2 linked regions of the Caenorhabditis elegans genome follow. The protein of the gene in region 1 interacts with the protein of each later gene in a pairwise test. Each region holds a gene or a part of one and is shown on either strand. Other genes may lie near its edges.

The links. The genes of interacting proteins can lie anywhere in the genome.
Region 2: the proteins of unc-16 (region 1) and unc-104 interact in a protein complementation assay, tested with the Caenorhabditis elegans proteins (one study listed by BioGRID).

The regions. Positions count from the first base shown.
Region 1 is NC_003281.10:9,544,449-9,549,319, reverse strand, and holds the start of unc-16 (JNK-interacting protein), read right to left. Parts: upstream 3,026-4,871; 5' UTR 2,962-3,025; coding exon 2,896-2,961; intron 2,650-2,895; coding exon 2,521-2,649; intron 1,941-2,520; coding exon 1,661-1,940; intron 1,570-1,660; coding exon 1,389-1,569; intron 1,324-1,388; coding exon of another isoform or gene 1,267-1,323; intron 755-1,266; coding exon 633-754; intron 530-632; coding exon of another isoform or gene 499-529; intron 149-498; coding exon 1-148. Other genes in the region: ZK1098.12 (DUF2975 domain-containing protein), read right to left, coding at 3,452-3,550, 3,599-3,727, 3,776-3,877, 3,921-3,995, 4,046-4,078; ZK1098.9 (uncharacterized protein), read right to left, coding at 4,242-4,363, 4,728-4,869. UniProt on the Caenorhabditis elegans protein: The JNK-interacting protein (JIP) group of scaffold proteins selectively mediates JNK signaling by aggregating specific components of the MAPK cascade to form a functional JNK signaling module.
Region 2 is NC_003280.10:6,993,040-6,998,040, reverse strand, and holds the start of unc-104 (Kinesin-like protein unc-104), read right to left. Parts: upstream 3,055-5,001; 5' UTR 2,855-3,054; intron 2,108-2,854; coding exon 2,008-2,107; intron 1,484-2,007; coding exon 1,333-1,483; intron 1,286-1,332; coding exon 1,117-1,285; intron 1,067-1,116; coding exon 888-1,066; intron 595-887; coding exon of another isoform or gene 431-594; intron 256-430; coding exon of another isoform or gene 150-255; intron 1-149. UniProt on the Caenorhabditis elegans protein: Motor protein involved in microtubule-associated anterograde transport. Regulates the transport of synaptic vesicle precursors in the axon of DA motor neurons. Regulates the polarized sorting of axonal proteins.

The DNA of each region.
Region 1 (4,871 bases):
TCTTCCTCTTCTGATTGTTTCGGTGAAGCAGCTTCTCGTTTAGGAGTCGGCTCTTTGGTTGTAATTGGTGAAGTCAACGCATCAGCAGATGATTGTGGAATATCCCTGGGTGATGGTTCGATATCTGATGAGAATTCGTCTTGCCAGTCTGGAAAATTAGTATTTTAAGATTTAAAAGAATGAGGGTTGCAATTTCCATTGAGAAAAGGTGCGGAGCGGGTTTTTTTTCACTTTTCAACAGGAAACATCGTACGGAATACAATTAAAAATGGTTTTTTAATGGGAAATTTAAAATTTCTTTCCAACTGAACTGGTTTATTTAAGCCAAAAAGGTCTAAAAATTGAGCAATAAACCAATGCAGTTGGAAAATAAGTGAATTTACAGAAAAAAATCCGTTGGAAATTTCCTGTTAAAAAAAGTTTTAAAAAAACGCGCGGCGGTTGCGAAAACCCGTGCCGCACCTTTGCAGCATGGAAATCGGAAGAAAACTGGCATACCAATAAAGGTTAGTTGAGGATTCGAGTTCATGTTAGTTAAAAATTATCGGAAATAAATAAATAAACTAAATTTTGCGATATATAGAATTTTTTGTATTTTTACATATTTGTGAAGGGTCGCGTAAAAAACTCACCTTCGTTTGTGATGTGATTTGCAAGATTAACATCCATCGTGGTTGATTGTGTCATATGAGCAGAAATAAGATCAGATACTCCACGAATTGATGATGCATCCACAGAAGCAGCCATGCCCATTCTGTAATTTAAATAATATCTTTTAAAAATTAAAATTTTGATTTTAGGGGACCGAACCAAGTTATTAAAGGTGGAAGAAGTGTTTGCCTAACAAAATTCTTTTTGGAAAATGATAAAATTGGGAATTTTGCTTTAAATTGTATATCGTAATGAGCGAATTTATACAATTTTTTTAAACAATAAATATAATTGAAGCATTTTCAAAGATCTATATCGTTTGCGGGAATTTAACAACAAATATCGCATTTTTTGCAAAATTGGAGAAAACATAAAAATTTAGAAAATTTTTTTAAACAGTAATTATGATCTCTTTTCTGACATTTAGAGCAGTGATAAAAAATTTGGAAAATCAAGAAAATAAAATAAATTCAAAAAAATTGGTGATTTTTATTTCTTCATGCGCTTCAAAATTTGGAGTGAAGTGGAGGATAACCAAATCGAAAAAAAATCAAAAATTTGAAAAATAAAAAAACCTTCCCGAAAAATAACAAAAATTCCAGACACAAAACTCACAATGACAAATTACTTTGATCACCACTCTTATGTAAGCGATGTGATATTGGAAACCAACTACAAACAACGACACAACAGTCAAATATTAATCACTTTTTTAAATTTAATTAAATTAAACTTACTTGTTTCGAAGTTGCATATTTGGCAATGGCATATTCTGCATTAATTCGAATTTTTCACTTCCCATTAGATATTTTGTACGTTCCATGTGATCTACATGGGTTCGTAATAGAGTATTATATCGTTCGTGGAGACGATCGAATTCGAGCTTTTGTTCCACTTCACGTTCTTCCAGACGACTGGCTGAAAAATAATACTTTTTTTAAAAATTTATCCAAGAAAAACACAAGAGTTAATAATTGAGGTGACAATTAACTAACTGTAACAAACTAACCGTGATCAGTGGCATTTTTGGCTTTCAACTCGAGCATCCTCATTATTGATTCAAGTGACTCTATCTTTTTGTCCAACTCTTTATTCTGACCAATCAACGTGTCTTCTATTTCAATATATTTCTGTTCTGTCTGCTTTCGAAGTGCTTTTTCACGTTCATATTGTGTCTGAAGCTGTTCATTGTCCTCTTTGAGCATTTCAAGTTCTGCAGTCTGCTCGTCACGTTCCAAATAGGCAAGATCCAATGCTTCGAGCACATTTACAACCAATGGCATCAGAGTCTGAAAATGTTTAGTTTATTGAATGATAATAGAGAAAGAGAGAAGAAAATTAGCATAAATTTACCTGCTGACTGGTTTAACATACTGAATTTAGTATTGAAGTAGAGTAAAAACATAGAATTTCAATTTCTGATCAAAAAATGGTCTAAAAAGTCCGAATTTCGTAAAAATATCATTTAAAAGTTCTTCAATTAATTATGACGATTCTATGTTTTGAAAAATATTTAACTATGAGCTAAAATCTACAATTTTGCATATTTTTCCGTGCCACAGCGGTCGGAAATTTATTTTCATTCGATTTTCGCTTATTTTGTCGTTTATCTCGTGTTACTTCGTTGAGTTTGGTACATTTGAAGCGATAGGCAACTAAAAATAAGCAAGATCGAAATGATGCTCAATAAAAATTCATTTCCGGCCGTTGCGACACGGAAAAGTTGGCAAAATTGAAGATTTCAGAAGAAAGAAAGCGTTTTTTTTTTCAAAACCATCAGTCTTATTATGAAATCCGGTTGTTTTGGGACATTTTTTGCGAAAACAGCCATTTAAATAAATTTTAAAGTAAAATTCCGAAAAAACTCACTTTCACGCCATCTTCTCCGTGAACTTTTATCATTGTTTCCAACTCTCGATAAATTGCCGAAGCCATTGTCTGCACTTTATCCGACATTGTTCGATGCTCATCTGGTGAGCCGGGGCCGCCGTACACAATCTGAGATAACATTTCTCCCATCAATATCGAATGCAGCATAAAAAAATCCTCCTATTACCCGTCCCAACTGTTTTGTTGTGTCTAGCGACAATCAATAATGAAGAGAGAAGTGCGGAAGAGAAACATAACGGTATTTACTGGCCGAGGAATAGTAGTAGGGGGCGACGATAAGAGAACCGAGATAACTATCGGGAGACGCTGCTGCTGCCACTCGGTTGCAACAATGGTTCATTTGCCACCACTTACCTCAGACGGTGTGCTGCTCGTAATTGAGTCTGCCATCTCATTCACCGGTGACAAATTGCAAGCCATTTTTTCAGTCGTTCTGTCGATTATTGGTCCATGTGAGAGCAAGTTGACGAGACAATTCTACAAATTATGTTGCTTTTGTGCTTTGCAATGAAAAAAGCTATGTAAATAAAGTGCCACTCCTTCGCCGCGGCGACAGAAAATCAATAAAAGAAGGCTGGGCGCATGTGTGAATCTCGTGGATGAGAGAATACGGTAATTGGCGGAAGAGGAGCGTTTTGTGCGTCACGCACTACACGCATGTCGAGTGGGTTTTGCCGTTTTGCGCTTCAGAATTTATTTTTCTATTGAATTCAGAATAAAAACACTTCATTAGAAGTTTTGCATGAATAGAATTTCAATTTGCGCCGCTATTACGAATTTTTATATAAACTCTATCAAAATTATGTGTTTCTTAGGCTATTTTTGCGTCAAAACCACGAATTTAGTGTGACAACATGTGTTAAAACAATGAAAAAACAAATACGAAAGAATCAGTTTATTACGAAATAAATCAACGTTCATCATTATCTTCCTCAGGATATTCCGGGTGGCTCAGGAACGCTAGAAGCACTTGCACCAGAGAAATCATCAGAACAATTCCCACTCCGACCTGAATTGTTGGATTAAAGAGAAAATCATGTCGATTAATATAATTTACATCCAGAAGCACAATGCAGTTTTTAATTGCTGTATGCTCGTGGGGAGCTTTGGCACTGAATGTGTACACGATGAAGAAGATGAGCGAAAGCAACGATGTGACTGGTGCTGGAGCATGATAGATGGCCAACTGAAATTTTTGTAGAATGTAAAATAACTTTCTAAAACTAGGAATTACTTTTCTTTGGCTCATTGCCAACATGCATTTAGATCGACTCAAAAACAACAGAGCGATGAATGTGATGACTGCGAGTACGAGGAAAACGCTACCTGCTGAGAGCTGAAAACGTAGAGTTAGGAACGTCTTTAAGATGAGAATTTACCATCCAAAATGACGCGAGTCCAGATACGTACCCCATTGGAATAGTTCCCTGGAGTAGAACAGTCACACTAATCATCTGAAAACCAAGAAGATTCCCAAATAATCTGCTGAAAACTAGAAACTCACAATATTTGCCACAATGAGTTTGTTCAAAAGCATATTTCTACTTTACAAAGATTTGTAACCGTATAACCCTTTTGCTAGATTTGAATTTAACGAAATGAGTAGGAAATCAAGTTAAAAGTGTTGTCTATTTTATAAATTAAAAGAACGTAGAAAAGGTCTTCACGAAGAAATTTAAAATTTATTCAAAAAAAAAAAATCAGACTTCTTTCTTGGCTTTTTTCTTCGGTTTCGACGAGGATGTTTCAGTTGATCCTCCACATTCTTCTTTGATCGTTTGCATTCCTTCGATACCGTTCAGTTTTTTCATGTCTTCTTTGCCTGAAAATGTGCAAATTTTTATTCTTCAGCATTACTATATTATCCAGATAATTTTGCGATTTTCGTCATGCTAATACGATACCCGGTCTCGATACGGCAAAGTTTTTGATAGATCCAAAGAGGTGTGCGCCTTTAAAGAGTACTGTAATTTCAGATTTTCGTTGTTATGGAATTTGCATCGATTTTTCATAGTTTCAGATAAATAAATAAATATTTAAATATCGAAAAACTAATAAAAGTCTAAAAATTCGAAGTACAGTACACTTTAAAGGCACACACCTTTCAGAATTTAACAATTGTAGCGTCGAGACCGGGAACCGTACTTTCTGGGTAAAAATTGCACAATTTCGCAACAAAAACTAACCTGCAGGTTTACAAACCGCACTTTTTGAATGAAGAACTGTCAGAATCACGAACACGATTGTAGTGATGATTCCGATACCTCCGAAGACAGCCGAAACTATCATTAGCATGCTAGATGGCAAAATAAAGTGCTTTTCACTCATCT
Region 2 (5,001 bases), on another chromosome or scaffold:
ATTATTTCGCAATTATCGTAGTTTTTGTTATGAGAATTGGATGTTCTTTCTTTTTCTCACTTTTTCTATTGTTTTTTGCAAGGAGAGACGGGATATTATAATTTCTGTTCTTTGAATTCTTATAAACTATGAAATAATGCAAAATTTAAAGATTGCCGAACAGCCACCGACCGTCGTGTCACGCAGCGCGGAGACGATGGATGAACGCGGGGATATTGAAAATTCGCTTCAGTTTCCAAGGATTTCTTGAAAGAGGTAATATTTTAGCTTATTTTAGCTTCAAATGTTTCTTTTATTTTTGCAAAATTGGTTTTTGCTATCATTCATGGCAAAACCGCAAATTGACTTAACTCTACCTTTAACTTTTCAGTTCATATTGTATTTTTCGCAAACAAAACACAATTTTATACAAAAATGTATTTAATTTCAGATTAGCCAATCGGAAACGCCACGGAAAAGCATCTACAGAGCAACCAAGTGCAGCAGAGACAGCGGAACGAGGGAAAATCCCGAAAAATTCTAATTTTTTTTTGCATTTTTGGAAATTTTTCTTAAATAAATATTATTTAAATAAACTACTGTTGTCATATTATAAGAAAAGAAAGTGAAAACTACAAGCGGGTGGAACGAATCCTGGAAGGATTCCATCTCACAGACATGTCAATAATAGGCGAACGATGGGCCGCTAACAAGCGAAATACAGGCGAGGGATAGGCCGCGTACACGCGTGTTTTTGGTTCTACATTCGCTTGCACGCGGCCTGCATGCAAGTCATCGCTCGCTTGTCGCGGGTTACCTGTGTATACCCCCGGTCATTAAACTTGGTTTAGTTTGCCATGATACTTCCGTTGATTTTCTCTAATGTTCTCCGTCTCTCACTCTCTCACCTCGCTTTATTTCCTTCGTCCATCAGATTGCAAATGTCGTGGTAAGAACAAACTGCCATTTTGGTAAGGTCATCGACGTAAGGTCCAAGTAAAGGATGTTCACGAACCCTTAGGTTACCTCCAGAGTTAGGATTCAGAAGATCTTTTACTCGTTCACAATAAATTTCCATATACGATACCTGTAATAATATTGTTAGTTTCCATGAATTAATGTATCAAAAATAATTACCTCTACAGAATATTGAACATCTTTATCATTGTTATTATCAATTCGTGCAAATAAATCATTGCACAAACGTGGAATTATACCCATTTCATCTGGATCATTGGCTTTTCCCATCATTGTATATGATTTTCCTGATCCTGTTTGACCGTATGCAAAAATGCAGACATTATACCTAGAAGTCAATTATTTAAACTATTAATCTATGTACATCAAACGAACCCTTCAAATGCGTGTTCCAACATTTCAACTCCGAGCTCTTCATATACTTGTTTTTGGGTGATAAAATGTGGGTCATTCCTCGCAAACGACCAATATGAATGATCAAAATTGAAACTGAAGTTCTCCTTGTTAATTGAATGACCATTTATTGCTGAAAATTGGAATATTTTAATTTGAAACAGTTCATACAGTATGCTACTACAGTATCATGTATTGTTATCAGGGAGCTTTGAATTGAGCATATTTTACAACCATTCTTTAAAATTAAAATTTAAAAATAAAACATTTAAAGACTGTGTATAAAAATATATCTTGGAGATCACTACTCTCCAACGCAAATATGAACACCTATCTATGCTTCAAAAACTCTGTGTTAGAAACACGGAACGAAACATGTGGTGGTATTGCTCAATGGTAGATCCCAATATTGAATCCCATACCTCCAGAATATCTTTTAATTCCTCTTATTCATTTCAAGACCCCGTCTGTTCTTTTTTATGCATTGCTTCTCTCTCATCTTTTCAATTATTCCCAAAGACTCTTGGACGTCACCAACGTTTTTCGCATCATTTTGGGACGGCAGCCTATCCTTTTTTCTCGGAAAATATTTCGTAGAAAGGGGTTAACTCAGTCTCAAATGTCACCCGCCATTTCTAAATCCCTTGGGGCACTTACTCGTCGTATTTCCATTTACTTGAAGGACACATTTTGAAGTGTTCGAGATTTCCCGTTGGTTGAATGGGCGAACACGTACAGCTACTTTAACCGATGACATCTGAAATTGTTTTAATTAATTCAAGAATTCGTTCGTAGAAATTGGAATTCACATGTTATTTTGAACTTGTTTATTGAGATTTATTTAAACAATTGAAGTAAGATCGATATATGCTAATAAGGAAAGAAGGAAAAAAGAAATTGACGAAATAAAACAGATTAATGGTTGATTCGATTAGAAAATGTTGGCTCAGGCAGGGAAAAGAAGCAAATGCCAAATGACGTGAATTGTGATCTATTTTCATTGAATTTCAATTTTAAGCATTAAGATTTGAACATTTTGAAATTTTGAAACAAATTGAAAAGGGGTTTTAAAAGTTTTTTAAAACTACAAGTTTACTGATGTCAAAAATTTTACCAACTCTTGAAGAAAAATCTTGAAAAGTTAAAGCTCATTGCGATCTTTCCAAAACCTTAGTAACATTTCAGAACATGAATTAATTTTTTTGAAACCATATTTTTAGGATTAAAATGCAGTCCTACAAACTTACAGAATCTTTTAAGTGTTCTATTGTGGTATTTTTGAATTTTAGCCCATTTTTGGGTACTTTGAGTTAAAAAGGGAATTTTTAACGTAAAATCTGAATTTTTCGAATACCGCCTTTCAAGTCAAGATAATAACTCCGTTCAGCCATGTCATTTTTCTATATCGTTTTTTTTCACACATCAACATCTATAACAAGACATTTGTTTCCCTTTCCTCTTGTTTTTCTATTTTTTCTTCTTCTATTTTGCAATTTTGGCTCACCTCTTGAGTCCTTCTTCTCAGCTCGAGTCAATCATCCAATGGCGTTGAGCCCCACTTATCGTCTCCTCGATGCTTTTCCTCTTCTTCTCCAGTTTTCTATTGAATGTGTATTCGAAAAAAAAAATGAAGAAGAGTGCTGAAAAAAAGGCAGCAATGAATCTTCGAATAGATGGTCGATTGGGAAAGAAAAAGTTCGGAATGGAAGAGAAAAGAGAAAAAGATAGAGATGGAGGAGGACGGAGCCTCGAGGCGAATTTAATTAGATGAGGAAAAAAAAGGGGTTGGGCTGAAATTAGAGAAGCCGAGAAGAAGCAACAGATGACGATGATAAACATGGAAAAAAGAGAAACAAGGAGAAAAAGAACATTCGAAAAAAGAAGAAGGCAGGATACAGAAAAATGATTGAATTTGGTTGGTTTTTGTGAGTCACAGTGTAGAAATTATAGAATCTGATTTTGGAAGCAAAACTGATTTTGGCACAATGTTCCCTAAGGTCAGCGAAAGGAGACATAAAGTTCCAATGGCTACTGTAATCAATGAGTATTTAATGAAAACTATTGATTTTCAAATTTAAAGGTTCAAAAACGAAAGGTTAAAACTATTGTCATATGTTAAAAAAAACCGATCTGTAAAGAATCAGATGGTAAAACATAACCTTTAAAAATGTAAACAATTTCAAAAGTTTAGCTAACACGGGAAAATCTCTTACAGATTTTCCTGGCCTATGGTGATTTTTCTATCCACGCTATTGTTTTTTCTCATTTTAATTTTATATGCTCACTAATTTGAAGTTGATATCACTTATAGAACAAGTTGCTCAAGACAAATTGTAAAATTTTATTTAAAATAAAAAATGAAAAAGGTTCTTACGGTAACATGCTCGCAACTTAAAATAAAAGTTAACACCAACAAAATGAATTTAATTAATATTATCTAGTTCAAAATATGCTTCAATCTTTCGGAGCCTATTTCAAAATGTATACTTGGTCCTTTAGTAAATGGTAATTCAAGATGCTTCAACAATTTTCAACCAAACATTTTTTCACGAAGATCCCCAGCAGTTTTTGAGAGCTCTTGGCTCTTTTAGGGATGAGCACATAATGAAAAAAAGGCGAGGGTTCCAGGCGAATAGTCTCTCGGAATGACGTTTTGAAGACGGGAACTGGAAGTTTTATCGTCACGCAATGTGTTTTTGTTGTTCAATTTGAAGCTGAAAAAGGGGCCGGAATGAACGGAGAAGGCGATTGGATGGGAATAAAAGAAGAATGTTGTGCTAAATGAAGAAATGACGTGAAATGGAAAGAAATCAATTAAATAAAGAAATGTTAATTATTTAGAAGAAGAGATGAAACTAGTAGGAGAAAGGGTAAGGAAAACTTTTAGGATATATATTGAACCATAAAACGTCAATGGAAAATGAAAGCACGGAGGGATAGAATACGAAAATATTCAATTGAAAGAAAAAGGTAGAAATTCTCATCTAGTTCGCTTGTACTTAAACAGTTTTGTCAAATTTTAATCCAATTATCAGGTGATTGTTGCCAAAAACATCTAGTGGAAATTCTGATCACTTTTTAAGAAAAGTACAAAATCAAATTTATTTTTGTATTAGAAAATGTATTAGATATTTATAAATTCAATACAGCTTTGTTTTATCTACTTACATTATACAATTGTTTTTTCAATCTCAAAAATTCAGCCCTCAATCTATTTCCATCACATATCAATTTCCTCCCTTTTAATCTCGACAATGATTCGGTTCTGAAACTCGATATTCTACGTTTGCATATATATACGTCGTTGCATGTTTTGGTGTCATAATTCAAAAAAAGTCCAAGCCAAAATTTGGGAAGAAAAGGAAAACCGGAAGGGATTTTTGACCATCATCATCTGATGATCATGAGTTGTTGGTTTTTGAACAGACAAAAAAAAGAAACACGTCATTTGAATAAAGGCGTATCTGGAGAAAAAAGAATGAGAAAAAAAGTAGAAGAAAGAAGAGCAAGTCTATGTTGTGTGGGGCTATTTTCAGGCAGGGAGGAAGCACAACGTCTAATGGGTGAACGAGACGCAGAGATGAAACGGCAGAAGCTCTGTGGACGACGCGGGCTCCACAAATGGATCGATTGGAGGCACGACGTCTGGGG